3 linked regions of the Astyanax mexicanus genome follow. The protein of the gene in region 3 interacts with the protein of the main gene of each other region in a biochemical or structural test. Links are inferred from orthologs where the notes say so. Each region holds a gene or a part of one and is shown on either strand. Other genes may lie near its edges. The genes, in order: ptprc, ptpn6 and lck.

Region 1 (10,613 bases), on a different chromosome or scaffold from region 3:
TTGAGCACAATGTTCAAGAATCAGTGAGAAAGTTGAAGTTGCACCGGGGCTGGATACTTCAACAAGACAACGACCCTAAACACTAAACACTGCTCAAAATCTACTAAAGCATTCATGCAGACTAACAAGTACAATGTTCTGGAATGATCATCTCAGTCCACAGACCTGAATATTAAGACCTGAAAATCTGTGGTGTGATTCAAAGTGGTCTGTTCATGCTCATAAACCATCAAACCTGACTGAACTGGAGATGTTTTGTAAAGAAGAATGATCCAAAATACCTTCAACCAGAAGCCAGACTCTCATTGGAAGCTATAGGAAGCATTTAGAGGCTGGTATTTCTGCAAAAGTAGGATCTTATAAATATTGATATAATTGTTCTGCTGGGGTGCCCAAACTTATGCACCTCCTAATTTAGTTTAAATAATTTTTGCACACTTTCTGTAAACCTTATAAACTTGATTTTACTTCTCAAATATCACTGAAATTGCTGATCCGAACAACCAATGATTTATAAAGCAAATTCATGGAAATTATCAGGGGTGCCCAAATGTTTAAACAGGCAGCCTAGTGCATCCCAAATGTTTCAACAATAACAGTTTAATATAACATTGTAGCCTTTATGGCTTTTATGTGTTTTGGGAAGTGGGGTAGTTTACTATAGGCCACTGTGGTGCAGGGGTATTGAGGGGTGACTGTCAGAGATCAGGAGTTCTGCTTAAGGAGGGTCCTCAAAGCTTGACCCCACCCATAACTAAGGTGAGTGGTAAAAAAGAGAAAGGGCTGTGTCTAAAGGGAAATAGAGGAGGAGTTTGAGTTCACTGAGGTGTGATCCATCTACCATAAAACCACTTTATGAAGATACATTACTTTTCCATTTAATGTTTTGACATAGCATTTTAGTGAAGGTTTTTTATATATATTTTTGATGGAAACACCTCAGATTTGCATAGTTATTATAATGGAGCATATGAAAGTAACAAAAAGGGTTTCAGTCTTACTTCTGACTATAAAGTCAAGAAGCTGTTGTTGTGAATTCTTGTGAATACGCCTCTCTCTGCTACTTCCTCAAACAGGCGGGAAACCAAAAGAAGGTGAAAAAAGAATGGGCAAGGAAGTGGTATCTTGCAGCATACTCTACGTTCAAAGGCCTAAAATGTGAGATATGTTTAGGGGGCTTGTGTGAAGAGCTTAAAGTGTTTAAAACCTGTATTTAACTAAACTAGAATGCAGATTTAGTTACATTTAGTTGTACATTCTTCACAGATTCGTTGATTAAAAGAAATGCCACTGTATTATTTGTAACACATTTAAAGTCATAGCAATATTCATTATTATCAATGCTGTCCAGTTGTCATCTTTGACATTGTTAAAGTAGTTTCATAGTAGTCTTTCTGCTCTCTTCCTGTGTTTGCTGTGTCTTCTCCTCACTTCTCCTACACTCTACACTTTTTCTTTCGTTTTTGGTAAGAATGGGTTGCTTCAGGTGTAAGAGAGGGATTATTTAGTGCAGCCACTGACTTTCTAATAGTCCATACAAGTTCATTTTTTTATTGCTATTTACTGTAAACCTGCCACATTTTGAGTTTCTCCTATAGCTTCTGTTAAATTTTTAATCTCCACTTCCCACACTTCTCCTGCTCATGATGTCACAGTCATACCACCTTCACCAGCGAGTCACAAACATTTTCTTGATCCTCATCACTTGAATACTAATCACTGTCACCTTTTAACAATTAAGCGTATATAAATACCCTTTTAATGAATTAACCACTTGTTAATTGTATCTCTGTTGCCACACTGAGAAACCTTCTGTGATATCTCGTAAATGATCTTTGTTTTTTCTGTTGGTTTATTTTCTTTGAATTGCCCCTTCGTCGGCTGGTTATTAACATCTTGCCCATTCTCCGGTTTTCACTTTGGTTTGCCACTGTCTGTTTTGGTTGCTGCTGTGTTTGTGCTCTTGTTAACACCATGCACAATACTACTAATATGATAATCAAGCCTGCAAACTAAATTGAGAGTGCTCGCTGAGACATAAATAAGGTCATGACATGCATTTTTTGGGCAGTTTGAAACCATACATTAATGATAATACTACCAATTTGTGACACTACTATCTGTGTTCCTCCAGAAATCAAAATGCATTAGAACAGGCTACATTTTGCCAGTGTTCAATTGTGCAGTATTGGTGACCCGGTGGACTGTAGCCTTCGCTTTCGGTTCTTGTTTGATCAAAGTGAAGACCTGAGAAAATGCTATTTTGCTAACCACAATGGTACAGAGTGGTTATCTATATTACCATAGAATTTTTTTGTCAGCTTCAACAATTCTGGCCAGTTTCACTTGACTTCTCTCATCAACAAGATGTTTCCGTCCACAGAACTGCTGCTCTTTGGATGTTTGTATTGTTACTCCATTCTGAGTAAACTGAGAGACAGTTTTAGAAACCAGTCCAGACAAGATCATCAGACACCAACAATCATGCTTAAAATGACTAAAGTCATATCTTTCCCATTTCTGATAATTGATCTTAAAACTACATAAAGCTGTTGGCCTGCATCAGCATAATTAAATGTATTTTACATGTGCCACATAATTGGCTGATTAATTAATGGCAATAATTGATATTTATACTATTACGTTTCTAATAAATTGCATGGTGTGTTATGTTGATTATTTTCTTTTGAGTTTATTATGTTTGTTATTATGTTATGTATCTCTTCATAATTCAGTGAATGCAGTAATCTGTATAGCAGTTTTACACACTAAGCAATCCTAATAGTGGAACAAACTTCCTTCCACTGCCAGAGCAAGGGTGTCCCACTCTACCTTTAAGGAATTCCTAAAGGCAGAGTTCTCTAAAGAACACCTACACTTTTAACACCACTAACAAACTAACGACTTCTAGCATTATTTCCTGCTCCCCCTCTTTTCTTCCTCTATCCCACTATTCCCCATAGGCCTTCTTTAGGTCCTGTTAAAAAATGTTTTTGCACTGAACGTGTATGTCCTCTATTGCTAAATGTACATCATTACTCGTAAGATGCTTTGGATAAAAGCATCCGCTAAATGCTATGTAACACAATGTACAATATTAATCCACTTTGATCCAGAAGTGGGAAGCAACATGATGCATTTACATGTTACATGTACGTAAAGCAGCAGTCCTTCAGATTTTGTACTTTAAATTAAGAGTAGTAAGTAGCAAGTAGTGTTCCTGAGCAGAGGGGGGGGGGGGGGGGGGGGAATTATTGTAATAAATAACATTAATGTGCTGCTGCAACTATTCCTGTAAAGCCAGATTTATTTACTTAATTAAAAAAACAGGGGGTCTGGTAGGTTCTGGATTCTTTTGGCAATGACAGAATTTGCTGATTACCTGAGCAAACATGGTGCATCTAATCCTGGCAAAAATTACCTAATTAATTGATTTTGAATAGACATTGCACTACAAAACATTTTTGCATGCTCATTGCAATTACATGTTAAAGTAACTTTTTGAACAGATTGTTCTTGTAAGAATTATTTTTAAATACAGTGCTTTGCACTTTTACTTAATACATTTGTGATATCAAAAATATGCTTTTACTCTGTTATTTTCATCATCAAGCTGTTTTAATCCAATGCGCATTTTGTTGTTTTTTTCATATAAAGCTTCCTTCACCAATGAAAAGGACGAGTTCGTTCACCAATTAAAAGCATCTTATGTGACTTACGTAAAGGCTACTACAGTATATATGGTAAAAATCTGGTATCAAGTCATTAACAGCGGTGGGCTTGACAGGTAGATTTTGGCATGGTGCAGGACTGTGATGGTAAAAATGGGCAAAATTTTTGAAGGAGGCAGGTACGCACCCCTGACCCCATGAGCTTGAGGCAATGTTTTTACTACAGAATACCAAAACCAGCAATTATATCATGTCTTCACTACCAGCCTAACAGCCTGGACTGTTGATATCTTTACCTTTTTAATTTATTATCTGCTGAGCATTTAATAAATATAGAGCATAAAACTTAGTCCTCATTTGGGTTTTAAATTGCTACTTTAGATTGGTTGTTTTTTACAGAAAGATTGAAGAGAGGAGAAGTGCTATAGGCATTTTTGATTTGGTGCTTGTATATGTGATACCTAAATAAGGCTGTGATAATTCAAGTTCTATTGATTGTTAAATAAGATTGAGGAAATAACTCACTACTTGAGTAGTGTTTTTACTGAAATTTCTTACCTTTATTCAAGTAAAAAATCTAATTTACTTTTAATTCTACTCTTTAATTCTAATTTCGAAATAACAGTACTTTTACTTGAGTTCTGTTTTTGGCTACTCAGCCCACCTCTGCTCGGATCAGCCTGCACTACTTTATCCTACAATGCAACACTGATTTCCACAGCTTCTACATTTGTTATACTTTATACTTTTTCTATCTGTCTTAGATTTATACTTGTAAATTACATGTCATACATGGGTGCATCACCAACATAAAAAATGCCCTTTTTTTACCCCCTTTGCAAGAGGCGTTACAATGCACATTGCTATGTTACACCTCATTAACAGTCTATTTTCAGGCCTTGCACCTATGTTGTTTTAATAGCAACGGTGCATGTGAATATATCTACGCCGATGGACATAGTGGTCTTGAAGTGAGCTGTGTTCAGGTAAATTGCTGGCGTATTAATAGCTATGCAATGGAAAACAGATGCACCACTGTCTAAAAGCAACCTAGGCAGACGTCATCTGTCAGACACTCATTACTATTTTGGCAGTGAATTATCAACACAGGCGCATCCCCAACATGTGTACACCCCTGCTTGTTACGCACACATGGACACACAGCAGTGCACAAACCCATAATGCGTGCCTGTTAGCAGCTATACAAACTTTTACCTCAATAATACACAGAAAGAACAAGCGTGAACGAGCAGATGGGTTCTGATAGGTTCATCCTTAAATGTGTTGATTATTATATTGAATGCACATGGATTTTAGAAACTGAAAAAATTGAAATTAATTAGCCATAACATCCTTGTTTCTACACTCGCAATCCATTTTATTTGCTCAACTTACAATGTGAAAGCACTTTCAATCTTTATAATTGCAGACTGTAGTCCTTCTGTTTCTCTGCATACGTTATTATCCTTCTTCAACCTTCTGGATCTGACAGTACCGCCACAGAGCAGGCTTTATTTAAGTGGTGGATCATTCTCAGCACTGTAATGACAGTAACATGACATCTGACATTTATTGCTGTACATTTTGTGTTGGTCATCCTCTAGTGCATCCTCATCAGTAGCCCCAGGATGCTGTTGGAAGGATCTTTTAGGTCGATGGTCTATTCTCAGTTCAGCAGTCAAACTGAAATATTTAAAAATTCAGCAGCACTGCTGTGTTTTATACATTATACACGTACCAGCACAACACACAGTAACATACCACCACCATCATATGAGAGTCACTCAGTGCTGAGAATGACCCAGATAAACCAGATAATACCTGCTCTGTGGTGGTCCTGCGGGATCCTGATCCTTAATGAACAGGGTGAAAGGTGGGTAAAAATTATGAACATACTAAAAGCTCCTATATGGTAAACAGAACTGATGAAATGAACAGTAAGTGCAGTCACAAGGAGGTGGTGTTAATGTTATGGGTAATTGACATATATTTACAGTTTTTTCAAACCTGAATTTGATCTCTGCAGTTAAAATCAAAGACGTTTCCACACACCTACAGGGGCAGTTGTACTGTACTGTAAGATAATGACCCTTATGAAAGCCAGTAGATGAAAGGCAATTTCTTAATGCAATGCTCTTAAACTCTGTGCTGCATTGTTTCTTAGTTTAAAAGGATGACACAGAAGTGCAAGGCGAGAGATTGTGGCGTAGCTGAAAATACAACTTCCTGTTAAGAGGCCCTCAGCGCATTGCTGAAGGTGTAAGCGGTCTTGTCAGTGCTCGGTCTTTCAAACTTACAGCAAGCTTGAGGACACTGGGGGGGTAAAACTTTACGGACTGTACCCTTTGGACAAACAAGAAAACGTAAGTTGAACGACCTTAAATAAAATCTACAGAACCTTCGGTTTAACACACCAAAAATTTAAAAAGTGAATACTTTTTAACACTTTATCTCTCTAATAGGACTTATGGTGTCTTAGAGGAGACGCTTATACCCCGGTAATGGCGACGTTTCCTGGACTAAGGCTCTTACTCTTGGTCCTGGCAGGATTGGCACTATGTAAGTACAAAATGTCTTTACTGGCGTCTTTAAATGAAGGTACGTTTCAGAGATTTCATCAGACTAGCGTGTGACAGGATGCTCTTTCTCCGGGTATTCTTGTGGTGGACTGATGGGTTAGATTATACAATTGCACTAAATGACCATGCTAACTTATTTATTACAAATATTAAATGTTCTTTTTAAAAACAAGATAATAAATGTGTTATTTATAATAAATAAATTGTTACACCTGTTTAATTAATTTAAGTAATTTAAGTAAGTCTGTTGTAGGAAGTAGAAAGTGAGAAGTGGAAATTGTACTTAATGTTTCTTAATTTTGAGATACTTGAGCTTGTTGTTGGTATTGAACTGTAAAGGTTTAAAATATACAGCAGTGGGGCAAACTTTTCCCTTTTTTAACAATGTTGCGTTTTTAACTGATTGTGTACTTTGGAAAATGAGAATATAGAATCGATGACGTGATGCGAACTTGGCCTTCAGCAGTCTTTCCTGATAAGTATGTCTTGCTTAGTGATGTATCTTACATAAAGGCCACCGAGCAAAAGAAAATAGACTTTGTATGTGCGTCTCTCTGTTACCAGGAGTATGATTTAATTAGTCTTTGTTGGTGGGAGCTTTGAACAGTTTGTAACTGTAACATAGGGTTGGTGTTTGGGTGTGTCTCCCTGTGGCTGTGATCTAGTTGAGGAGAATTAGACTGATGCTTCATAGCTGCGTGAATGGCTTCACTATCTGTCCCTCAGTTTCTTTCATTGAATTAAACTCTTATTTATTTTTCATGCTTTGATTAATGCCTTTTAAATCTCTATAATATAATGCTTCCTCTATACTTAACAATAATTAACAACAAGTTTACGCTTTTGATGTTGAATTAAACACTTGGTTATATAATTCTTTGGGAGCTGTGTTAATTATCAGTGTAGTTATATGGCTTCTTTAATTCAGTTGGGCTCTGAAATGTGGCCGCTCCACACCGGCTATTGACCACTTCCTTCTTCCAGTTTGAGCTGGTGTCTCTTCCTCACTAGTTTGAGCGCACTGGTGAAAATAGTGCTAGACTGTGTAAAAAAGTGCATGGTGAAATGAAGAAGTTCATTACTTTTTTTCTTACTTTTTCATTTTTGTGTCTTTACTTAGGGGTTAATAACAGAAGCCACTGTGATTCCTGTAACTGTACTAAACAGGCAGGACAGGGAGACTGAGAAATGGGCCTATATTAGGAAGTGTGAGTTTAATAATCATGTGCTCACATGCCAGGGCTATCAGAAAAAGACAACATAAAATCATATCTTAAAGGTTTATCAAGTCAATAGAGATGGCACAGCATTTGTACTTTTCTTTTTAAGAAAGAAGTTTTTTTTTTAAACCTTTGTGGACCATTGTTACTGCCTTTAATTTAGATTCCTGCTCTCTGGTTTTGTACTTTTGAGGACGAAAGCAGAACAGAAAGTGAATTAGTATATATTAATATATCTAGCTGACACTCTCTCTGATCGTGTAGGGGCACACACATTTTTTTATTAACCAATTACCAAAGAGATAAAAGGTAATACTACATAAAAAAGGTATATCTGTTAAAAGAGTCAGTTTAGAGTAATACATTGTAACAATAGCCTTTAAAACAAGAGTTCAAAGATATCTTTCATAATTATTATTTTTTAATCTTATTTTATCAAGGCTTAGTTGAAGTTGCTGATAGCGATATAGTGGTACACAAAAGTTCACACTACAGTTTGGAATTCACAGTTTGAGTTCAGGGGAAAAAGCAAAAAACAATACTTATGACTTAACAAGCTCCCATTTCATTTCATTTAAACAGGCAGTTAGTGTGTGATAAAATTGTGAATTTGCCCGTGTTTATCATATTAGCACCAGTGTTTCACTAGGATGATAATACAAATAACAGGCATTATGATATTTTCTTGTCCTGTGATACATATTGTGATATTAAGAAATACAGGATTTTTTTGTACCAGAAATCAATGAAGTTAAAAATCCAGCATGTCATTAACAATTTTTCCTTTTATACTGATAAAATTGTATCATGACAAGTTTGATCTAATTTGTTTACGATGTGACATTACATGTCCTGCGAAGTGACTATTGTGCACACATCATATTATGATGGTCTTTAAAACGGAGAAAAATGGTTTTGTAGCCCTTGTTTTGTTACATATATTCTGCAGTTGTGGCCCACCCCTACTTCAAAATTACGAAAGGTCCCAAAATGGCCATTATAAAACTTTGCACAGGTTTTGTATCTATTTAAATAATGAATTATTATTATTTTCTAAAGATCACATGTGAAAGCCATTCTTTTGGTGAACAAAACACATGCTAAGGCTAATTTACCTTAGCTAACGTTACTATCCTAGTTCTGTACAGCTTGTACCTTTTAGCTAGAGAGCAGCCATTTGTGAAGGTAGTAAACTGACACCAAGGGTGAAAAGTGATCTTGAAAGTTGAAAGCTTTTTTTTTTTTAGAGTTTAATAAAAATTGTCAGAAAATAAGTTCAGAAAACTGAAGGGGCCTTTTTTTCTGGACATTTATTAAGCTTATTCATGGATTACAGTTTAATGGTAAAGGTATAATGCCTTTATAAAGTTTTAGTCAGGGCTCGACCATAATGTGGGTCATAGAAATTGACTTTATATATTTGATAGAATAAACACAGACAAATATGCAAGTTTCACAGTTTAATTAACATAAACTTTTTACTCACTTTTATTTAGATTTCTGTTATCACTACAAGTGTTGTTTAGTTCATTTATTTAATAAAAAGTTAAAAAGACAGAATTGGACAGTATTGACCTTTCTGCACCTCTCTAATACTTAACCCCTATTACCGAGCTTTAAAGCACATTTCATTGATGTCCATGTACAATAAAATGTATATTAAATCAAGTTGCAAATAGCAAAATTGGCAAGGCATATTTTCTTGTTTATCTCCTTTAAACTTTTAGTGCTAGTTAAACAGGAAATTATGCAAAGTTTGCTAAGTGTTTAATTGGGTGATAAAATATTCCCAATAAATGTTAAATGTTTGATATTTTAACGTGATATATTCTCTTCTAAATCACAACTTTAATCACAGCTTTATCTGAGCAAAAGCCAAGCATGACTAATGTGTTTTTTTATGTTTAGGCAGCTTAAACTAGCTTTTGAAAGTCATTGGCCTTTGTGATTTTCATTTTAACCTTAACCTTGGCTAATACCCCTCGTAACCGTGATCTGTTTCTAAATTACATGATTATGCTCTGATCACAACTATATTTGTTGCATTTTGTGTTACTGTGGCCCAAAATTCAGTAAGTGATTGTGAATAATCAAGAACTTTTCTTTATTAAGTTATTAGGAACTAACCATGGCAAATATTTCACAGACAGGCAAACATTTTTTGGAGTATCATACTGTTACAAGTAAATACACCTCATGGTCAAAGGAAGTTAACTTCTTTGTAGAATACCTGCTAGTGATTACTCACAAGTTATCATGTTCCATTCAGTGGGTGGACCTTTAGCGATTGTGCTGGCAGAGTGTGTGCACTTCAAGTTGAGATCTGAGTTGAGCAAAACCACATCCGTAAAAAAAAGAGAAAGACGGAAAGTCTAGTTCTCTCTCTTTAGTTCTGTGGGGTAGCGTGATATACTGAAGTAGTTCTTCCAGTCTATACAGTCCTTTCTTAACATTTTTTTTGTGAATTCCTTCTATAACTGGAAATAATGGATTACTTGCTATTTTTATTAATAGTGTAGTTTTTAATGTCTTGTGTTTTTTAGCACACAGTGTTTCTTTCTGTATTTGCTATTCTATTCTAGTGACTGCTTCAGTTAAGGTCTAGATGATATATTTTTAAGGTTTCCTCTGACTGTTAAAAAAGAATAATCTCACATAAGACAGAAACATAAAATCTGCAACAGCTCCTGATCACTGTATGCGTGGTAGTTTGCATTCAAAAGTTTCTGGGAACACAAAAATGAACTTTGCATCAAGCAGAACAAAAGAAAAGAAACCAAAGTGCATTTGACTGGGGATGGGGTAGGTTTTAGTCAGTGCACAGGAAGTTGTGGTTAAAATACCAAAATAGTTTTCGTGCTCGCTCTGCGTTGCTATGACACCCAGGCTGTACCACACATAAGCTGTTAATAACACCCTTCTGTTTTCTCCTAAATGGCCGCTATATTATAGGGGTGCTCAATATTTGATTCACAATTGTGAATTCACGTTCAATTTTCTCACGATATTCAGAACAGATTTTGAATTACAAAAAATGAGGAGACCCTTTTTCCTATTTCTTAAGTGTATAAATGTTTCTTGATGAACATTTGCGTAAGTCCGATTTATAATTTTATATGTACAGCTTTACGCTTAAATAAACT
Region 2 (10,203 bases), on a different chromosome or scaffold from region 3:
TTTCTCTGATTTTGCTACTTATAGGTATATGTTTGAGTAAAATGAACATTGTTGTTTTTTTGCTATAAACTAGGACAACATTTCTCCCAAATTCCAAATAAAAATAGTCATTTAGAGCATTTATTTGCAGAAATTGAGAAATGGCTGAAATAACAAAAATGATAGTAGAGCTTTCAGACCTCAAATAATGCAAATAAAACAAGTTCATATTCATAAAGTTTTGAGAGTTCATAAATACAAATATAAAAGCTCACAACTTCTACACTGAGTCAACTCAGAATCTACTAAACAGTCTGCCTACAACATAGACTTTGCTTTGAGTCGACATAGAAGTTGAAATCGTCCAAAACACTTTAGTCTTCCACTGCTCTCATTTTAGTGCTGGGGGTCCCCCTACCACCCTTTCATAACTGACATTAGTCATGGTTTTAGGCTGTTCTAGAGCAACCAACTCTTTTGGTTGTGCCCTTTTAATAGACACAGATTGTTTATGTGAAATTTGAAGCAAGTCATTGTTTGCTTTTTTTGTAATGAATTGAAATGATTCCACCCCCTCAGTTAATAATGCTTCTTGTGTGCAGAACTACACTCCCTCTGGCAGAACGAGGAGAGAGCCGCCACAGTCACCAAGAAGACCTATGAGATCTGGCACCGTCGCCATGACTACTGGCTTCTGGCTGGCATCATACAGTATCCTTTCTCCAACACGTCAGTTTGAGAGTTTCACACCAAGGTTTAGATTTAGGTCGTGGTTAGAGGTTACCTAATTCCTTTTTCCCACAGTGAGAGAACAAAAGTTTTTAATCATTCTATTTTTGGCAGTATGGAGCAACACAGGACATCACGTTTAATGGTGGCATTACATATTGTCTTGATTGTGGAAACAAAAATAGGAAGGTTATTTCAAGATTTATTTTGAGAAGACAAGATTAATTTCATTTCATTGTTTGAATTCTGGTTGTGCTGGTTCTGTGTGATTTTGAACTAATGGTGAGTTTGAGCTCCAAGCACACTGCAGTGCAGTGCACAAAGCATGGATGTGGCAGTTTGCAAAAGAAGCCACAAAGTTCACAGGAGCCACAGTGTGCAAAGACCAAAGATAGCTTCAGTAGTTTTAGTAGTGCAGTGATTACATTGCTCTTATACCATTAGTAATTTAAGTGACTGGAGTAGGTTATAAATCCTTCAGGAGTATCTTTTGCACTTTGATAGGAAAATATATGAATTAATATGCCAAAAAAGTACCAAAAGCACACAAGAACTTATATATTGCATATTTAGGAAGCAAAAACATTTAATTAAATACAAACTATATTTATTGACAAAATAAATGTGAGGAATATTTGTGAAGTCTGCTAGTGGGAACTAATGATTTACTGGAACTGGCCTAATTTTAGTTTATTATAATTACGTAGATAGAAGCACACAGGAAGTGAAGAAGTGAACAGTAGTTTTTTTGTAAACCTGAGGCAGGCCCTGCTAATACTAATGTTTTGACCAGCACAATTTATGGCTTATTTAATAATACTGTTAATCACGTAACTAACCTGTATGTCACCCAAGAATGACAAACTGTCCAGTCTACTAATGGTATTAAATAAAAAATTTAAGTGATACAGACAATGCTATTTATTTCGTGCACAGTGGTAAATAGAAACTAACGGAGCAGTCAGCCAGTTACATTCTCATTTCAAGTTGGTGGGACCAGTTTCATTTGAATCAGAATATATATTTATCTTCTTAACGACAGAGAGAGGCCTTAGATAAAGATCAGTGTGGCTGGGGTGGGGACTGTGTTATTCACAGCTCTGACACTCTTGCCTGTGCTCTTCTGCTCTGTCTCAGTACTCTCACTGCAGTATATGCCACTGCTGTTATGATCTTTGACTCTGCGTGCTCTTAGACATGGCTATGCTCGGTGGCAGGATGTTCAGAATGACCCGCGCTATGCCATCCTCAACCAGCCCTTCAAAGGAGAGATGAGCCGTGGAAACTTCCTTGAGATCAAAAACAAGTTTCTCGCTCGCAGGTTTAAGGTACATAACACTCACTGTCTCACTCACTCACTTGAACACATTCATGTACGCTGCTGGTACTACAGAGATTTTGTTTTCCCCCAGCTGTTGGAGCAGGCGCTGGTGATAGAAGAGCAGCTGCGTAGAGCGGCATATCTTAACATGACGGAAGACCCATCCCACCCTTCTATGGCCCTCAACACTCGCTTCAGTGAGGTGGAGTGTCTGGCTGAGTCCCACCAGCACCTCAGCAAGGAGTCCATGTCTGGAAATAAACCTGCTAACGCTGTACTGCACAAAGGTACATCAATATTGTGCCTGTGTGCTAGACTAGAAACACATGGCACACCAATTGCAGCTTTTCACACAGCGATGCAGGTACTTAAACAAATTCCATTAAATAACTTAAATAACTAGATTTTTTACGCTTAAGACTCTTGTAACTAACGTAACTGTACATTAAGCCTTATTATGCCAAAGTTAGTTCAGACTCTGCAATGTGATTGGCTGAGATTTTTAGTCTTACTAAGCATTGTAAATAGAAAAAAAAGATTGTTTTACATGTTTTAGAAATAATTATCTTATACAGTCTTACTTAGAATTTTCACCTTATTTTAAGTATTTTTAACTCAAAATTAACACTAAAATTCACCAGTCAAGTTATTCTGATACAAGTGTAGACATTTAAGCTAGAAAATATTTATTTTGCTTGATTTAAGTCTTACTTCACTCATTTTGAGGCTTTGTCATTGCTTATTTTAAGAAAACATTATAAAAAAAATTGCTTACATCATTGGCAGATTTAATTTAAGCATTTATGTCTCCATTTAAATAGATTTTATCTAGTTTTTGCCAATGGATTTTTTTGCAGTGTATCCTTCAGGCACAGTGCATAAACGCCATCTCTCCAATAGGCGGTGCAGGCAAAGACACGGTTCACACAAATAAACAAACTTAGCAATTCAAAAAAATATATGTATTTTAACAAACATTATCAGCCATCAATATCAGGATAGGAGTTGATATCATATTAGTTAATATAGGGTATTTTAAGTGAAATTTAAGGTAGCGAAAAATAGGGGTCCCCATGTAATTCCGCAGGTCTCGCCGCTGGGGGGCGTCGAAGTAAACAAAACTTTAATTCTTAAGTCAAACGAGCACTGGACTTAAATCTACACAGATTTCTCTTCTAAAAAAACATTTATTTAGGCGAGTAAAGCTTTTATATTTATTTACAATAAGCTTAGATTTCCACAATTTTGACTGAAATGGCCGAAAATAGAGGCCACCACGCTAACCTAGCAACAGTGCAGCGCGTGTTTATAACCAAACAGATTGTATTTTCTCTCATCCTCTTTAACTCAAAATATTTTAATAAACAGCAATGATGGAACTTTGGGATGGTGCGATTAACATGTAATATTGGCACTGCTGGCACATCTACAGGTCTGCGACGGCTGCACAGCAGTGCCAGCAGTCCCTCCCTTGTATTATTGCTTAATTATAAACAGAAACATGCATTAAAAGAGAGGTCGAATTTTGGCAGGCAGAATTCAGCATAACATCTGGAAAGGCAACTCGTCAAACTGGCAACATTCTACGAATCAATCAGTGCTTGTTTATAGAGAGGTGCAGCCCACATTGGTTGATGAGGACAGGACATAAGTTATTTCCTGTGCTCTTTAAACTGCAGTGTATACATGTATACAGTGTAACAAAACGGACTTTGGTCTGGTCTTTTAATGTGTGAAAACGCCCTTAACGTTTTAAATAGACACAGAGATACACAGTCTCTGAAGATGCTCATTAGAGATCTATCAGGGATGCTTAGATACTTTTATTTTGTCATAAATTGAACTCTCTCTTCATTTTTCTTAGTTCTTAAGCAACTGGAGGAGCTGCTCAGTGACATGAAGGCTGACGTCACCCGCCTCCCAGCCACCATCGCCCGGATACCACCGGTCGCTGTGCGCCTGCAGATGTCAGAGCGGAGCATCCTTAGCCGTCTGGCCAGCCGTGGGCCAGAGGTTACACAGACGCAGGCACCCCGCTGAGCCCCAGATGACCTTTTGACCCTTACATCCCTTAGGCTCTGCCCTGATCCGGAATAGCTTCACCCAGTCGTTCCCTCTTGTGCTGGATCAGGTTACCCAGAGTACTGTACAGAGAGTCCTCCCTGCTGTTAGAATGAAAAGAGAGAAAGAATTTTCCACTGTAACATAACTGTGTCCCTCCATAACACTTCTCCTTACAAGCTCCCCAACCTGAATAGCACTAAAACAGCTCAGAGTGACCTTCCTCTCACTACCCTCCCAAGCATCTCTGCGGCCAGTGATCAGACTTAGAGCTTTGCGAGGATTCCTTGTCTCACATTGTGTCGTTATCATAATAACCTCAGGCAACTCTGACTTCTCATTCCTGTCTTTACACTAATACAACTGACCTGTAAAATACAGTGCGTATTGGCATCTTGAGGCCTGTGCATTGAGATTTTCAGGTCACATAGCTTGTGGGATTGTTTGCTGAAAAAAAATGCCACTCAAATGTATACAGAAGTTCCACAAAAATAAAATATATCACATCGCCACTGTTCTGTCTTGATGTAAGATATTTTATTAATGTGAAATGTATGTACACATTTGAATCAAATAACTACATAGTTTTTTTCAGTGCATTAGAATACACTCAAACACCCTCACACTATAACGGTTTATATGAGCTCAGACATCTCTAAACAGAGATTTCCTTAGCAAACCATGTTTAAAAAAAACTCTTTCCTGTTCGCAATCCTCCGTCCAACCCACCTCACATCATTCCTGAGTGGTCCCCAGATGGTGTCACAGACTGTCAACATCATAAGCCACAGTCCCTTCTCCAGCCCACAATCAGAAAACACAACTGGGATGATGACAGGATGACGTTTAAAACAAGGCTGATTTTCCACATTCAAAACGTTTGATTAGCTCACTTTGTAAGTATTGTTGTTGCCCTGGTATTGTTTATACATATATTCTTTCTGGATTTTGACCTACATACAATTAAAATAATTAACAAAAAGGTTTGTCTGGATATTATGAGTGCTTTTTAATGAATATTTGTCTATTGTGTTCTTAAGGGGAAGGAGCTGCAAAGCACAAGATAGTTGTGTGTTGTATTCTACAATTTGTTATTCAGCACATTAGACATAAATTAAGATTAAGAGTAAGTTGAAGTGAGGAGAGAATGAGCACAAAAGTATATTTAATAATATTTGGAAAAAGTGGGTTCTGTTCTTCAGAAATATATTAGAACTTTTTTTGTGTGTGTGATCCGGTATGCTGCTTTAGTCTGGTGGAGGGTCCAGTTGGAAATGTTTTTAATAACACATTTGTACAATATTAACTGCCTTTACAATGTCATATGTTACTTTACAACACGGGTAATGCCCTGCTAAGTGCAGTTCAGTCACTGACCTAGTCTTATAGTCTCTATAAAACACGAAATCCACCGGAGATCCTATGTAAACTTAGTTACTTACACAAAGAGTTGGGTAGTCCAGGTCCAGAAAGTAAAAATCCACCCTGGGGTTTTGTTGGCTGAGCCACAGCAGAGCCCAGGCAGTTGGAACAAAACCTTGAGGCGGATTGTTGTGTAAACAGAACTGTTTAAAACATATACCTACCTATCTTAATTGTACTTCGCTGATGGTGTTTCATAGACCATTCGTTCCTTAGCTCTGAATTACTGGGCAAATCATATAACACTGATGTGTTATTTTTACAAATAACACAGGAACTACCATGTTGTTCCTGATGCTGTTAGCTTCTGTCTGACAAAATGGCATCCCTGCTTGGCTTCAGCTCTTCCTGTGGGCGGTCGCGAGTCAAGGCGGGTGAGGCCATGAATAATAACCTAAGTCACAGGTTGACGTAGACACAGTGCTTTTTCTAATAGACTGAATATTATTTTCTGAACATTTTCTTTTACTAGCAGACAATGGAGTTTAAAGAAGAGTTTTATGTGCAGCATGCATATACAACTCGGAGAGACCTATTGTATTTCACAAAGAAAAAGTGGATTTTAGTTTAATAAATCATTATGTTAATATAATATGTTGTCTCTTTAATTTAATAAAGCTAAACTCAGTTTAATAAATCATTCTGTTAATATAATATGTTGTTTCCTTAATTTAATAAATCTTCCCTCTGTTTAATAAAGCGATTAATTATCTTATTAAATTATTTTGTAGAGTGTAGAGGGGGTGATTAACTGGTGTATGTCTGTGAATATGTTTTGGTATTTGAAGGGTTTGGTTTTTCAGCATATCTGTAGAATTAGGTTTTCACCTGGGCGAGTCTGGACAGGTCCTGTGTGTGGAGCACAGTGTGGGTTGGAGTGACCCGGATGACTCAGGCTGGAGACTGGAGGGAGAGAAGCGGTCAGTGAGGAGAAATATTAGCTCACCGTGTTACAGAATGATCTACCTCCACAGAGTTCCACTGACAGCTGCTCCAAACACACACACCAGGTACACTCCTCACTCCTCCAGGTGAGACAGAGGTGTGTGGTTGAGAGCGAGCGCGCGTGCGTGTGTGTTTGCTGACTAGGAAGAAGATTTGGAGGCTTTTTTTGGCTCTCAGGCAAAACACGGCAATTTGGGAAAATTACAGGGTGGAGAAGTGTAATCATGCTGCTCTGATCTCTTATCACAACCACCGTTTACATACAGAGAGGGAGAGAGGAGCTCTTCTGAGCGCTATAGGTTATAGTGATCGTAGTGCACTATGTAAATGTAGTATATGAAGCTCCTCGCTGTGCAGGTGTGTGTGTGTGTGTGTGTGTGTTGACCCGCTGATGAAGAAAGCTCGGTGGTGGTGAGTCTGCTGCTGCTGTTGTTGTTGTTTCTTTCTGTTTAGTGAGTATATGTAGTAAGACTGCTGTTGTGTGTCGCAGTGACTCTGCAGTGTGTGTTCTGTGTCTCTCTGATTCTGAGGGAATTAACGTTAGTTAATTCTGTTTCAGTGTGTAGCTGTGTGTGCTCTGAACAGGTCTAGTCTAGCTCTGGCTCTGGCTAACTAACTTTCTAGCGGTGTCTGCAGCGGGAAGTTCTCTGTTGGAGGGGTAACTTTCTTTTTAATTTAAGTTTTAAACTATCCTTTTACTAAATCCGGTTACACCACAGACCCCTATGTCGTGTCTTAACTAGTAGCAAACTAACTCACGCGCAGAGTTACTGTCGCTTTTACATGACGAAAACAAGCGTGTAGCATGTCAATCAATGCCATGGAAACGTGGTTGTCAGCCAGCGCAGATGTTTTTGTTTTTATTATTTACGGGGAAATTATATATTATTAATGTTATTATTCCACATTATATATATATATATATATATATATATATATATATATATATATATATATATATATATATATATATACTTATATACGTATATATATATATATATATATATATATATATATATATATATATATATACATCTGAATCTAATAACACATACACATGTACTGTATGTATAACTGTTACACGTACTGTTAATCTCAGTTTCGAAACCAAAGACGGTTACAACAAGTTCACTAATTTCTTTTGATTTTCTCTCAAAGAAGTCTTTATTTTAAAGAAATTGTTGACAGTATGTTCAAATAATTGATAATTTTGTTTTTAAATCACTTTATATTAATGTACATTGTATTTCTCCTAAAAGATGCAATGCTATTTTTATTTTTTCAAGAAGACCCAAATCTGAAATTGATTAAAAAAAAAGTGTTTTACATTCACTAATATTGTTCCCTGGTTAAACAATAAAGCAATAAAGCAGAGGACAATACTTATTCCTATTACTGGAACTCACTCCTGTTACTGACAGTCACGCCTGTTACTCTTTATGTTATAAGTAACAGGAATGAGTTTTTATCTTAGAATTAGAAATTCTAAAATTAGAAATTACATTATTTTAAAAATAAACAAATAATATCTAAGAATTAACTTAGGTAACAGGACAGAGTGTTGAGATTGACCTCCTCAATCATAATTACACTATCAAATATACAGAAAAACAAATAAGGGAACTTTAATTTTGGTCTTCCCATGATCTCCAGAAGAACCAACTGATGGAACTTCCTGATGTAGATGTGACTTGTAGTATGTCTCAAATGTTTCAGATGGGGTAATGTGTTACGATAACAGGACTGAGTAAAACCCAGGGACACTACTAAAATTTCTATTTTAACTTAAATAGTATGGGGAAATTTGAAAGTCTATGTAGGTCACAATTTTTGAGATACAAAGACGAAATACGGCTGGTTTATACAACTTATCGCGTTCTTTCCGACAATATGCTTCACGAAATTATACGTCGTACGGTTTTCGTACAATTATCGTACAAAGTTTCCCCATAGGAATGAATGGGGGGCCCAGAGTTCCATCTCGCACACGAGCAGCTCTGCGCACGGAACCCCTTCTCTCCCCTGCTCCTCCAGTACTGTGAGTGTATGGAGGAGCTGCTGTATGGAGCAGCTATCAGTCAAAAGTTTGGACACCCCGGCACCCCAGCCAGGGCTTTGCAACCACCTATTAACTGCTTAGCAACAACTTAGCAACCACCTGGAAAACGTTAGCAACTGCCTAGCAACCAGTTAGCAATACCTTAGCAACCACTAGGAAAAGTTAGAAACTGCCTAGCAACAGCTTAGCAACCACTTTAGAAATGAAAGCAACTGCCTAGCAACCACTTAGCAACCACTTAGCAACCACGTTAAAAACGATAGCAACTGCCTAGCAACCACTTAGCAACACCTTAACAACCACTAGGAAAACATTAGCAACTGCTTAGCAACCACTTTAGAAATTATAGCAACTGCCTAGCAACCACTTAGCAACCACCTGGAATATGTTAGCAACTGCCTAGCTACCAGTTTGCTACACCTTAGCAACCACCTGGAAAACGTTATCAACTGCATAGCAACCACTTAGCAACCACTCTAGAAATGATAGCAACTGCCTAGCAACCAAATAGCAACAGCTTAGCAACCACCTGAAAAACGTTAGCAACTGCCTAGCAACCACTTAGCAATCATGTGGAATATGTTAGCAACTGCCTAGCAACCACTTAGCAACCAATTTAGAAATGATAGTAAGTGCGTAGCAACCACTTAGCAACACCTTAGCAACCAACTGGAAAACGTTAGCAACTGCCTAGCAACAGCTTAGCAACCACTTTAGAAATGACAGCAACTGCCTAGCAACCACTTAGTAACCACGTGGAATATGTTAGCAACTGCCTAGCAACCACTTTAGAAATTATAGAAACTGCCTAGCAACCACTAAGCAACCACTTAGCAACCACATGGAAAACGTTAGCAACTGCCTAGCAACCACTTAGCAACCACTTTAGAAACACCTTAGCAACCGCATAGCAACACCTTAGCAACCACATAGCAACCACCTAGCAACACCTTAGCAACCACCCCAGATACCATAGCAACACCTTAGCAACCACCTAGCAACACCTTAGCAACCACCTAGCAACACCTTAGCAACCACCCTGGATACCATAGCAACACCCTAGCAACCACCTAGCAACACCTTAGCAACCACCCTGGATACCATAGCAACACCTTAGCAACCGCATAGCAACACCTTAGCAACCACCTAGCAACACCTTAGCAACCACCCCGGATACCATAGCAACACCTTAGCAACCGCATAGCAACACCTTAGCAACCACCTAGCAACCAACTAGCAACACCCTAGCAACCACCTAGCAACACCTTAGCAACCACCCCAGATACCATAGCAACACCTTAGCAACCACCTAGCAAGACCCTAGCAACCACCTAGCAACACATTAGTAACCACCCTGGATACCATAGCAACACCTTAGCAACCACCTAGCAACACATTAGCAACCACCTAGCAACATCTTAGCAACCACCCCGGATACCATAGCAACACCTTAGCAACAACCTAGCAACACCCTAGCAACCACCTAGCAACCACCTGGTATATGTTAGCAATTGCCCAGCAACCAGTTAGCAACAGCTTAGCAACCACCTGGAAAACATTAGCAACTGCCTAGCAACAGCTTAGCAACCACTTCAGAAATGATAGCAACCGCCAAGCAAAACATTAGCAATCAAACGTTTAACCAAAAGTTTTACGATTTCAGCATTTAAACAAGCGTTTTTAGATT
Region 3 (10,164 bases):
GTAGGGTTAACCAATTGTTCGTAATGACAAAAAAAAAAAAAAAAATGGCACAGTATAAGAGACATGGAGATGTTTGTTCAGAGGAAGAGGAATGTTGCCGGAGGCTGTTTTCTTTATTCACAATGCCAACAACTGCAGCTTGAATTTCTAGCATTGCGATTGCATGAGCTCAGCAGGTATTCATCTAAGGGGGCACGCCGGACCCTGCATTTCCTCCTGCAAGCTTCCTGAATAATAATTGCTTACTCTGAACTTTACTCTGAAAATTAGATGCCAATTAATATATACAATATAAACAACAACCTTCTCATTCAATGTTTTTATTTCTTTATTTTTTTCCTACATTGTAAATGAATACTGAAGTCATCCAGACTACGAAGGAACACATAAGCAATCGTATAATAACTTAAAATTGTTAAACAAACCAAAATACTCTGGGATGTTTTTAAGTTGTGGTTTCAAAGGCTGTTACCCTTGGTTTTCTTTTCCTTGGGTGGTCCTGATGAGAGCCAGTTTCATCATAACGTTTTTGATACTTTTAAAGTTACTAAAAAGTTTTGTATTGACTGACCTTCATTTCTTAAAGTATTTTGTTCTTTACTTAGTTAAAAACTCCTTGTCATTATGATAGATTTGTGGATTAGAACATTACTCAAATAGAGCTATTTACTGTATATCAACTCTACCTCTTCACAACTTTTCAACTGATGCTCTCAAACACATTAAGAGACTAAAAAGTCAAGTAATTTAACTCTTGACAAGTTCAGCACAGCTGTTAACTGAAAGCCTGAATTCCAGATGACTCATAAAGCTGACCTCATAAAGCTGACTGAGAAAATGCAGCGAAGATGTGCAAAACTGTCATCTAAGCAAGAGGTGCTACTTAGAAGAATCTAAAATATAAAACATATTCAGGTTTGTTTAACACTTTTTTGTTTACTAAATAATTTCTTATGTTTGTCTTCATAGTTTGAATGACTTATATATTGATTTACAATGCACAGTTTAAATAATGAAAAATCACTAAATTTATTCTATGTCCAAAGGAAGTGGAAAGAAATGTTGGATTGCAATGCTATTTGGAAGATATTTAAAAATCTCCTCCTGCTAAAGTCCACTTTTTTTGTTCTTTATGAAATACAATAGATCTCTCTGAGTTGTATATGATGCTGCACATGAAACTGTTCCCTCAAACTCCGTGGTCTGCAGTAGCTAGGAAAAGAAAAAGTGTTCATCAGGAAAAGTACCGTGACTATGTTAACTCATGAGTGTAAGCAACATCGAATCAAATTGGATCTCCGGTTGATTCTGCGTTTTACAGAGACCTTAAATATACACTAGGGAAGCACGTTTTGACAAGGCAGCACAACTCGACAAAACACTGATCAAAGTGGGCGTCGTTTGCGTCATGTTATGATATAAAGCGGCCTCTGGGGCTTCGACTTAGTTGCAGGAAGAATGTGGGGGCTCGGTCGTGGGTGGGGGCATGGGGGGGTGTTGCGTCTCTACTCACACCGCGGCATTGATAATATTTCTCGGCCACGGGGAGAGTAAAGGCAGGTAGCGTTCTCTGCTGCAGTTAACCAATCAGAGACGATATGTTTGCATGTATGAATATTCATGAGCAAAAGTGATGGAGTGTGATGTAATTTCATACAATGCCAAATTCTAATTTACTACAAAACTAAACACAACAAAAGTCCGTGTTGAGTTCCACTTCTGTCAGCCAAGACCAGAAAGCTGAGTCTGCAGTTTTCAAAGCTGACAGAAGTGGAACTCGACTTGGTTGGACATATTTGGGCATATTTGCAATCAAAGTACCTAAAGCCTCAGAACCACAATACGAGAAATGAGAAGGTCTTGAGCTGTAATAATCAGGCCAGTGAGAGAACTCTGCTCAGGAAACGCTCCTCAACCTGAGGCTCTGATGTCGACCGCCCGGAGAGAGAGAGAGAGAAAAAGAGAGAGAGAGTTGAGAGTTTAGAGTTGAGACCTATGCGTCTTCCTGTTCAAACACGTAGCTGACTTCCTGCATGTGTCTTGGCTGACTTCCTGCAAGTGCATGCATTATCTGTCGCCTGCCACCGCAACAAAAAGAGTGCGGTCGAGAGAGAAAGAAAAAGAGAGAAAGACAGAAAGTAATATAGAAAGATATTAGGTTAGAGGTGGTGCATAAGAAAGAACGAGTCTGTAATCTAAATGCTTCCCTGTTTATGTTTTAGAGAACTGTTGAGTATTTTGGCTATTTTTTTCTGAGTGTCCGCATCATAAAGTGGAATTAGAACGTGATTTTAAGGCACTATAAACTCCCACAATGCATCATAACTTATAGTGAACACTGTAGCTCACTACATTTGCTCAGTGTTGGCCAGAATATATTGTGGAAGTCTCACTACTAAACAACCATCAGCTGAAGAAACTGGAGCCAACAATGAGCCACCAGGGTTGCCAGATTGTTACATTGGCGTGCACATAGTGTAAAGCGTGTTTAAAATACACCAAAATGCAATGAAAACTGCCCTAAAACATCCTAAAAACAGCTGATATGTATTCAGCTTATCAACAATATTACAGGGATTAATCCAACATGGACTTAAAATAAACTACTAAATTTGTCCTTGGTTGTCATTTGCTTAGGACACTAGAGCCTCACAACAAAGACTCCATTTCCCAGCATGCTCAATCACCAGATATCCCTGATCACGTTCGCCAAGCTTTTGATTGCTCACACCTGGAATCCCTTGTATATATACCCTCAATTTCCTTTGTTCCCTTCACCTGTATTTAATCTAATTTGCTAGCTCTTCTATTAAGCATTTTGTTTTTTCTGAGTCCCTGACTTCTCTTCTGAAAACCGGTTATTTGGGTGAGTAAAGCTCTTACATTTATTTACAGTAAGCTTAGATTTCCACAATTTTGACTGAAATGGCTAAAAATATAGGCCACCATGCTAACCTAGCAACAAAGCAGCGCTTACAGCTCAGCTACAAACAGAGCAGCATTGTAACTGTTTAAACTATTTATTTAACTATTTATTACCAAACACATTGAATTTTCTCATCCTCTTTAACTTAATTAATCTTTTAATAAACAGTGATAATGGAACTGTGGTATAATCACAATAACAGAAATATTGGCACTGCTGTGCTGCGGTCGTATTGTCTATTATTACTTAATTCTGTTCTGTATTGTTGATGTGTGATGCGTAAAGAATGGGAGTGTACACACGCTGATCGTGACTGTTGACTGTTGGAACCCTGCTGTCAGGGTTTAAATTGGTCAGTGGCGTATCTGTTTGTTCTAATTCCAAGATAGAAAAACGCCAGAAATTTACCTGAACTTCAGAAATGTTCCAGACCACCATGTCCATCAGTGTAGATATATTCCTAAACTCAGACCCTATTTAACAGCACGGGTGCAAGGCGTAAAAATAGACTGCCGACAGGGTGTAAGATAGCAATGAGCATCACGGTGTATGAAAGGGCCCAAACAGAAAGAAACAGAGAGACAGAGAGGTTATGTGATGACGTTTTGTCACTTGTAGAATGAGATAATACCATTTCCATGTCTCGCTTTCTCTCTCTCTCTCTCTGCTGTTTCTCTTTGTCTCTTACTTTAAATGTGACCAAGAGCGAAAGAGAGAGAGAGAGATGAATAAGTATTGTCTCATTTTACAAAAATAGAACACATATAATAGAGAGTGTAGAGAGAGTGCATTTGTGTAACAAACAAAAAGACAAAGAGAGAGAGAAAGAAAGAGAGAGAGAGAAAAAATAGAGAGAGAGAGAGATTCCAGATGCTTTTCTGTAGGAAACTCACTGGTGTGCAGTAAAAAAGCAGGACTGTGTGGAGCAGTATCAGAAGTGGGGCAGTGGATGTGTGGGGTTCTAGCTCAGGTGGAGAACCCGCAGGTTTCCACTCAGTGCTATATAAAGTGTGTACGGTGTCCCTGTGGTTGTGCAGACCTGCAGTTGGAGCTGGTTGGGGAGGGTTCAGGCTGCTCCAGGCTGCTGCTGCTGCTGCAGAGCGAGCTGTAGGCCGCAGGTCCCGCAGAGTCGGGTGGAATCCTCGCCCGGTAGGTGACGGTCTGTAACGTCTCTCTGAGCACAGCTGCACGAGCTCGACGCCACCTGTGATAAAGTGCGCACTGCCAGCACAACGACAGGAAGCTCTTTAACCTGCTGATCTTCCACAACTCTGCTGAAACTGTGCGCACAGGTTTTTAAACTTTGTCTGGACTACCATGCCCTTATTTTCTTGCTTTAACATAAAGAGCTTTGGAAAAAAAATAAGAGAACAATTTAGTTTCTGAATCAGTTTCTCTGATTTTGCTATTTATAGGTATATATTTGAGTAAAATGAACTTTGTTGCTTTGTTCTATAAACTACAGACAACATTTCTCCCACATTCCAAATAAAAATATTGTTATTTAGAGCATTTATTTGCAAAAAAATGAGAAATGTCTGAAATAACCAAAAAGATACAGAGCTTTCAGACCACAAATAATGCAAAAAAAAAAAAAAACAGTTCAGAAATCAATATTTGTTGAATATTTGGGTTTTAATGACAGTTTTCATGCATTATGGCATGTTCTCCTCCACCAGTCTTACACACTGCTTTTGGATAACTTCTAACTGTGAATCGCTTTCTTGAGCTCATGCCACAGCATCTCAATTGGGTTGAGGTCAGGACTCTGACTTTGCCACTCCAAAAGGTGTATTTTCCGCACCATCTATCTATCCTCTGTTGAGCTTCAGTTGACGGACAGACAGATGGTCTTAAGTTTCCTGCAAAATGTCTTGTCAAACTTGGGAATTAATTTTTCTGTTGATGACGTCAATCCGTCAAATCCAGGCCATGAGACAGTAAAGCAAAGCAACCCCAAACCATGATGCCCCCTCCACCGTGTTTCACAGTTAGAATGAGGTTTTGATTGTTTTTTTTTTCTCCACACATAGCATTGTGTGTTCTTTCTAAACAACTCAATTTTGTTTTCATGTGTCCACAGTATATTTTGCCAGTACTGCTTTGGAACATCCAGGTGCTCTTTTGCAAACTTCAAAAGTGCAGCAATGTTTTTTTTCTTGTACAGCAGTGGCTTCCTCCGTTGTTTAATGTTTTCCTTATTGTAGATTTGTCCACAAAAATGTTAGCATGTGCCAGAGATTTCTGTAAGTCTTCAGCTGACACTCTAGCTGAGAGGATTCTTCCTCACCTCATTGATCATTCTGCGCTGTGCTCTTGCAGTCATCTTTACAGGACTTTACCACGCCTAGGGAGAGTAGCTGAACAGTGCTGAACTTTCTCCATTTGTAGACGTCTGTCTTACCCTGGTCTCATGAACATCAAGGCTTTTAGAGATACTGATACTTTTTTTTGTAACCCTTTCCATCTTCATACAAGTCAACAATTCTTGAACATACGTCTTCTGAGAGCTCTTTCGTGTGAGGCATGATTCACATCAAGCAATGCTTCTTAAGAACAGCAAACTCAAAACTGGTGTGTGTTTTTTTATAGGGCAGGGCAGCTTTAACCAACACCAACATCCAATCTCATCACATTGATTGGACTCCAGGTTGGCTGAGTCCTGACTCCCGTTAGCTCTTAGAAAAGTCATTAGCTTAGGGGTTCACATACTTTTTCCCCCCTCACTGTGAATGTTAACATGTTGTGTTCAATAAAAACCATGCAGTCATAGAATTTTTATGTGGTATTAGTTTAAACAGACTGTTTGTGTCTATTGTTGTGACTTAGATGAAGATCAGAACACATTTAATGACAAATTTAAGCAGAACTCCAAGTATAATCCCAAAGGGTTCACATACTTTTTTTTTGTGCAACTGTAGTTGCTACTTTTGATACATATTTAATAATATGATACAGTATGTTTGTCCCCACGTCCTGACAAGGTGCCTAAACAAACGTGTGTGTGTGTGTGTGTGTGTGTCTAAGTGTGTGATGTGCTGATGGTAAAGTGGAGGATGTAGAGGATGTGATGTCGCTCACAGTTTTCGACGCACCACATGTGTGTGAAGCTGAAGCAGCGCTGCACCAGTCTTATCTGCGCACCTTTCCTTCACAGGTCTAGAAGCTTCTCTAGAAGCGTTTCGGATCCTGTAAAACCGTGGATATAAGGATGAGGACCAGTCCCACCCATCCATGAAATCTGAGGACCACCTGAGACCACCAGCAGTGATACTATAACAGGTATGTCCTGAATTAGCGCAGACCTTCTGAGGGCTTCTGAACTGCGGGGAACTGCTGAAGTAAATCACAGAGTGTTCATTAAATTATACATCACAAATATTTAGAAATATTTAGAAACTCAATCTGTTTAGAAAATGCTGAAAAAAATCCCACAGATAAATCTTTGGACTTAAGACTTGAGTGAAAATGTTGAACTAAGGAAGAACGAGGTGGCGCTTGGGTTGGGTCGACCTTGGCCACGATTTCTCAAATCCAAAAAGCAATTTTTAAAAGCAATGTTTATATCTATTTATTTTGGTCACAATGTGGAAAATGTATTTAGTATGTAATCGCATTACAATTAGAAAAAAAATAGATTACAAAATATAAATTAAGCTAATCAACGTAAAAAAAAATAGTTTTGATTTCTGTGACAGGTCTGTGACAGGTTTGATCAAAACAAAATAAAAAAAAAATAATTAAAAATAACTAATAACTTAAAGTGTTGTTTTAATCTATCTTGGGAAACAAGTTAAATTCTAAACAACCACTAAAACATACTCATTTACCTGAAGGATAATAAGTCGTATTGAAGATTTGAAGCTATTTATATTTTTTGAAAAAGCTGTTTTAACACATATGTATTACATTGTATATTGTTTCATATATATTGACATATAATGTAAATGGGGCATAATGGTGTACAGGCCCATACATATTTATGAAATACAAATGAGATATACTGTGGGATTTACTGTTATTAAATATAGTATACATATATTTGAATGATACATATGGCATAGACTGTTGTTATGTTTATTATCTATATTATACATATGGGATACACTGCTATGATATATTTGCTTACCTATAACATATATTATGCAAATTATACATATTCCTGTATTGCTATGGTACATACAGTATAAGTGATATCATTTCTATACTTTCCTGTTACAGAGGCACAAACATTATACATTATAAATATATATATATATATAGATAATACATTTTAATACATATATAATACATATATATATAATATATACATACATATATATTTATAATACATTATAAATATTCATGAATTTTTTTAGTTTACTACATGATTTAAACAGACACTGCGTTAAAATTTAATAATGAATGGACCAATTAAAATTCTCCAAAAAATGTACCTGAAATAAACTCTTTTTGCATTGACTCCCACTGAAAAAGCTGCTATTTTGAAAATACATGTTTTTCATAGGACAGCGACTATACATATACTCCTATATATATTCTATATATTCTATATATTCCATTTACGTTGGCTCATATACATAATTTTGGGAACACTTTACAATAAGGGTCACAAATGAAAGTACTTTTAACAGTAATCAACGTTGTTAAATTGTTACGTAATGTCTCAACTAATTATTAATTGACACTAGTTAAGAAATTATTGACCATTACTAAATTACAATGATTAAGAATTTTGTAAATAATAATAAATTGACATATTAGTTTAAAAAAATGATGTAATGATTAATAATATATTAACTCGTGTCAATTAATTAATGATTAGTTTGAGACATTCTAGTCGTGAGTAATGTAAATGAATGTAGCCCTATTGTAAAGTGTTAGCATCATTTTTATAATTTATAAAGAGGCAAAAAAAAATAGACAGAATAAGATGTAGAAGGAGATTCTTCAGATGTTATAAGTGTTATTTGAGTGTCCTCACCTGACCTCACCTTCAGTAGTTAAAGGAGAAGGGTGTGGTGTGTATTTGAGTGTATTTCAGATGCTTGGTTGAGCAGATGTGCTGCTGTAAGATCACTAATCTTATTAATTAATATTAAGTGATGAATAATTATCATTCACTAGCGTCACACACGGGAAACAGTGCAGCTCTGTGAGCAGAGGACAGGAGCTGGCAGCAGGGCTGTGGTGTTAGAGGTGAACTGGGTCAGGGAACAGGGAAGGCCTTTAGCTGCCAAGGAATTCGGCTTCCAGTTTGACACCTTTAGGCCGTGCCACCGTGCCGCCTGTAACATTCCTGACGTGAGCAGGACCCGGCCTTGTTTGTGTTGTGAGAGACTGGCCAGGGGATTTACTCTTAGCTGCTTTAGGCCTTCAGGGTTAATGCCTGTAACTCAATGCGGAAACTAACGAGCCCGGTAAAAAAAATACACAACAGGAATAAAAGGAAGTCGAAAGATAGACTGAAGATATTCTTTAAAAACTTCTTTATTTCCATTAGGGTTGGTGGTATTAAAGATTGTGGCGTAACTCTAACTAGTAACTAACTAACTATGATTTTGCCTTTTTATTTTAGATAATTTAGTGCAAAATTGTTTGGAAAGTAGAGATTTTGTTGCAAAAAGCGATAAAAAAAACCAACAACAAATAAATAAATTGTTGTCGTTTTTTAAATGTTGACATAATCTGAATGTGCCTGTTGTTTACGTATTATAATTTCATGATCTGAAAGAGTTTAAGATTTTTAACATTTTGAAGATAAAATGATGTCTTTGTGGCAGCGATGATGATTTTTCATCTGATTAAATGCTATTGTTGTGTGTATAGTCTATAGTATAGTTTTTAAGCGGAACAGAAAATACATCCCTCATATTTTGCCACAGTTTTCATTTATTAACATTAAAACAAACATAAACATCAAAACTTTAAGAATGACTTCCATTGTAATTTAGGGTGTTCTTTATTATTATCCTGCAAGTTGCTGTTTTGAAGATTAAAGGATTTTAGTGTAAAGTCTGTGAAGATAATATTGACCCAGTGGAAATATATGGTTGTGTGTATAGTCTTGTTTTTTTTTTTAAGCGAAAAGGAAAACAAATCCCTTATATTTTTTACCGGTTAGTCTTTTATTGACATGAAAACAAACAGAATATTGTCAAAAGTGCAGATTCAACCCAGACGATACAGAACACAAACATAGATCACCTCTCACTCCATTTTTGCTGTTTTTAACTCTCTGAATCGGGCCGTTTTTCTTAACACTGTAACTGAAATTTAATTTATATTTAGTTATTATTAATATTATTATTAATTATTATTAATATTTAGCCTTGTTTTTTTGCAGAATGCAAAAGCCATCCTATCTTTTTTCCTGTTTTATCATTTATTAACATAAAAAAAAGAATATTGACAAAAATGCAGTTTCAAACCTGATGATAAAGAACATTAACATAGATATGATGATATGATAAATGGACCAATAGAAATTGAATTATAATAAAAATCATTTTATATTGACTTTCATTGAAAGTTAGGGTGATTTTTTTCTTATCATGTAAGTTGCCATTTTAAAGATTTGAGGATTTTTATATATTGTATATTTTGTATAGTATATATTCGTATGTGTGTAGTTTTGTTTTGCAGAATTGTTTATCCAGTATATTTATTGACGTCAAAACAAACAGAATTGGCGCAAATGGGGATTTAACCCTAATGAAACAGAATACTTACTTATATCATAACTATCTCCAATTTCATTTTACATTTTTAACTGAATCATAATTCTGGCAGCTATTTTTTACACTGTGTCTAAATGGACCAATAAAAATAATGCAAAATGACTGAACAGAACTCTTATTGCATTATAAGGTATTTTCTTCTCCTATAATGCTACTAGATTTTGGCAGTGTGTGGCAGTGATGATAATTTTCATCTGATGAAAGAAATTGTTGTGTCTATAGTCTTATTTTTGTGGAAAAGATAAATCTACAATTTCCATGGTTAGCCATTTACTGACATAAAAACTAATAGACCTTTGTCAAAAGTACAGATTTAATCCTGATGATACAGAATGCTACTGTAACGCAAATGCAATAGTCTATTTTTGTCTTTATACATAATTATACATAACGTAAATCTGGAACATTACAGCTTTGTTTACACTATGTTCACATTTTTAATAAATGAACACAAATTGCTCAAAATTTATTCATATACAAAATTTACACTATTAAAAG

Evidence for each region.
Region 1: of the proteins of lck (region 3) and ptprc, one has a biochemical effect on the other in vitro, tested with the Homo sapiens proteins (5 studies listed by BioGRID and IntAct, with this or other methods). The link is inferred for Astyanax mexicanus from reciprocal best matches to the Homo sapiens genes LCK and PTPRC.
Region 2: of the proteins of lck (region 3) and ptpn6, one has a biochemical effect on the other in vitro, tested with the Homo sapiens proteins (4 studies listed by BioGRID and IntAct, with this or other methods). The link is inferred for Astyanax mexicanus from reciprocal best matches to the Homo sapiens genes LCK and PTPN6.

Annotation. Positions count from the first base shown.
Region 1 is NC_064423.1:21,154,714-21,165,326, reverse strand, and holds the start of ptprc (receptor-type tyrosine-protein phosphatase C), read left to right. Parts: upstream 1-5,880; 5' UTR 5,881-6,034; intron 6,035-6,133; 5' UTR 6,134-6,172; coding exon 6,173-6,230; intron 6,231-10,613. UniProt on the Homo sapiens protein: Protein tyrosine-protein phosphatase required for T-cell activation through the antigen receptor. Acts as a positive regulator of T-cell coactivation upon binding to DPP4.
Region 2 is NC_064413.1:26,348,069-26,358,271, reverse strand, and holds the start of ptpn6 (tyrosine-protein phosphatase non-receptor type 6), read left to right. Parts: upstream 1-6,403; 5' UTR 6,404-6,543; intron 6,544-6,678; exon of another isoform or gene 6,679-6,868; intron 6,869-10,203. Other genes in the region: chd4b (chromodomain-helicase-DNA-binding protein 4), read left to right, coding at 582-690, 1,904-2,036, 2,121-2,316, 3,894-4,069. UniProt on the Homo sapiens protein: Tyrosine phosphatase enzyme that plays important roles in controlling immune signaling pathways and fundamental physiological processes such as hematopoiesis.
Region 3 is NC_064421.1:41,911,855-41,922,018, reverse strand, and holds the start of lck (tyrosine-protein kinase Lck), read left to right. Parts: upstream 1-6,012; 5' UTR 6,013-6,208; intron 6,209-10,164. UniProt on the Homo sapiens protein: Non-receptor tyrosine-protein kinase that plays an essential role in the selection and maturation of developing T-cells in the thymus and in the function of mature T-cells. Plays a key role in T-cell antigen receptor (TCR)-linked signal transduction pathways.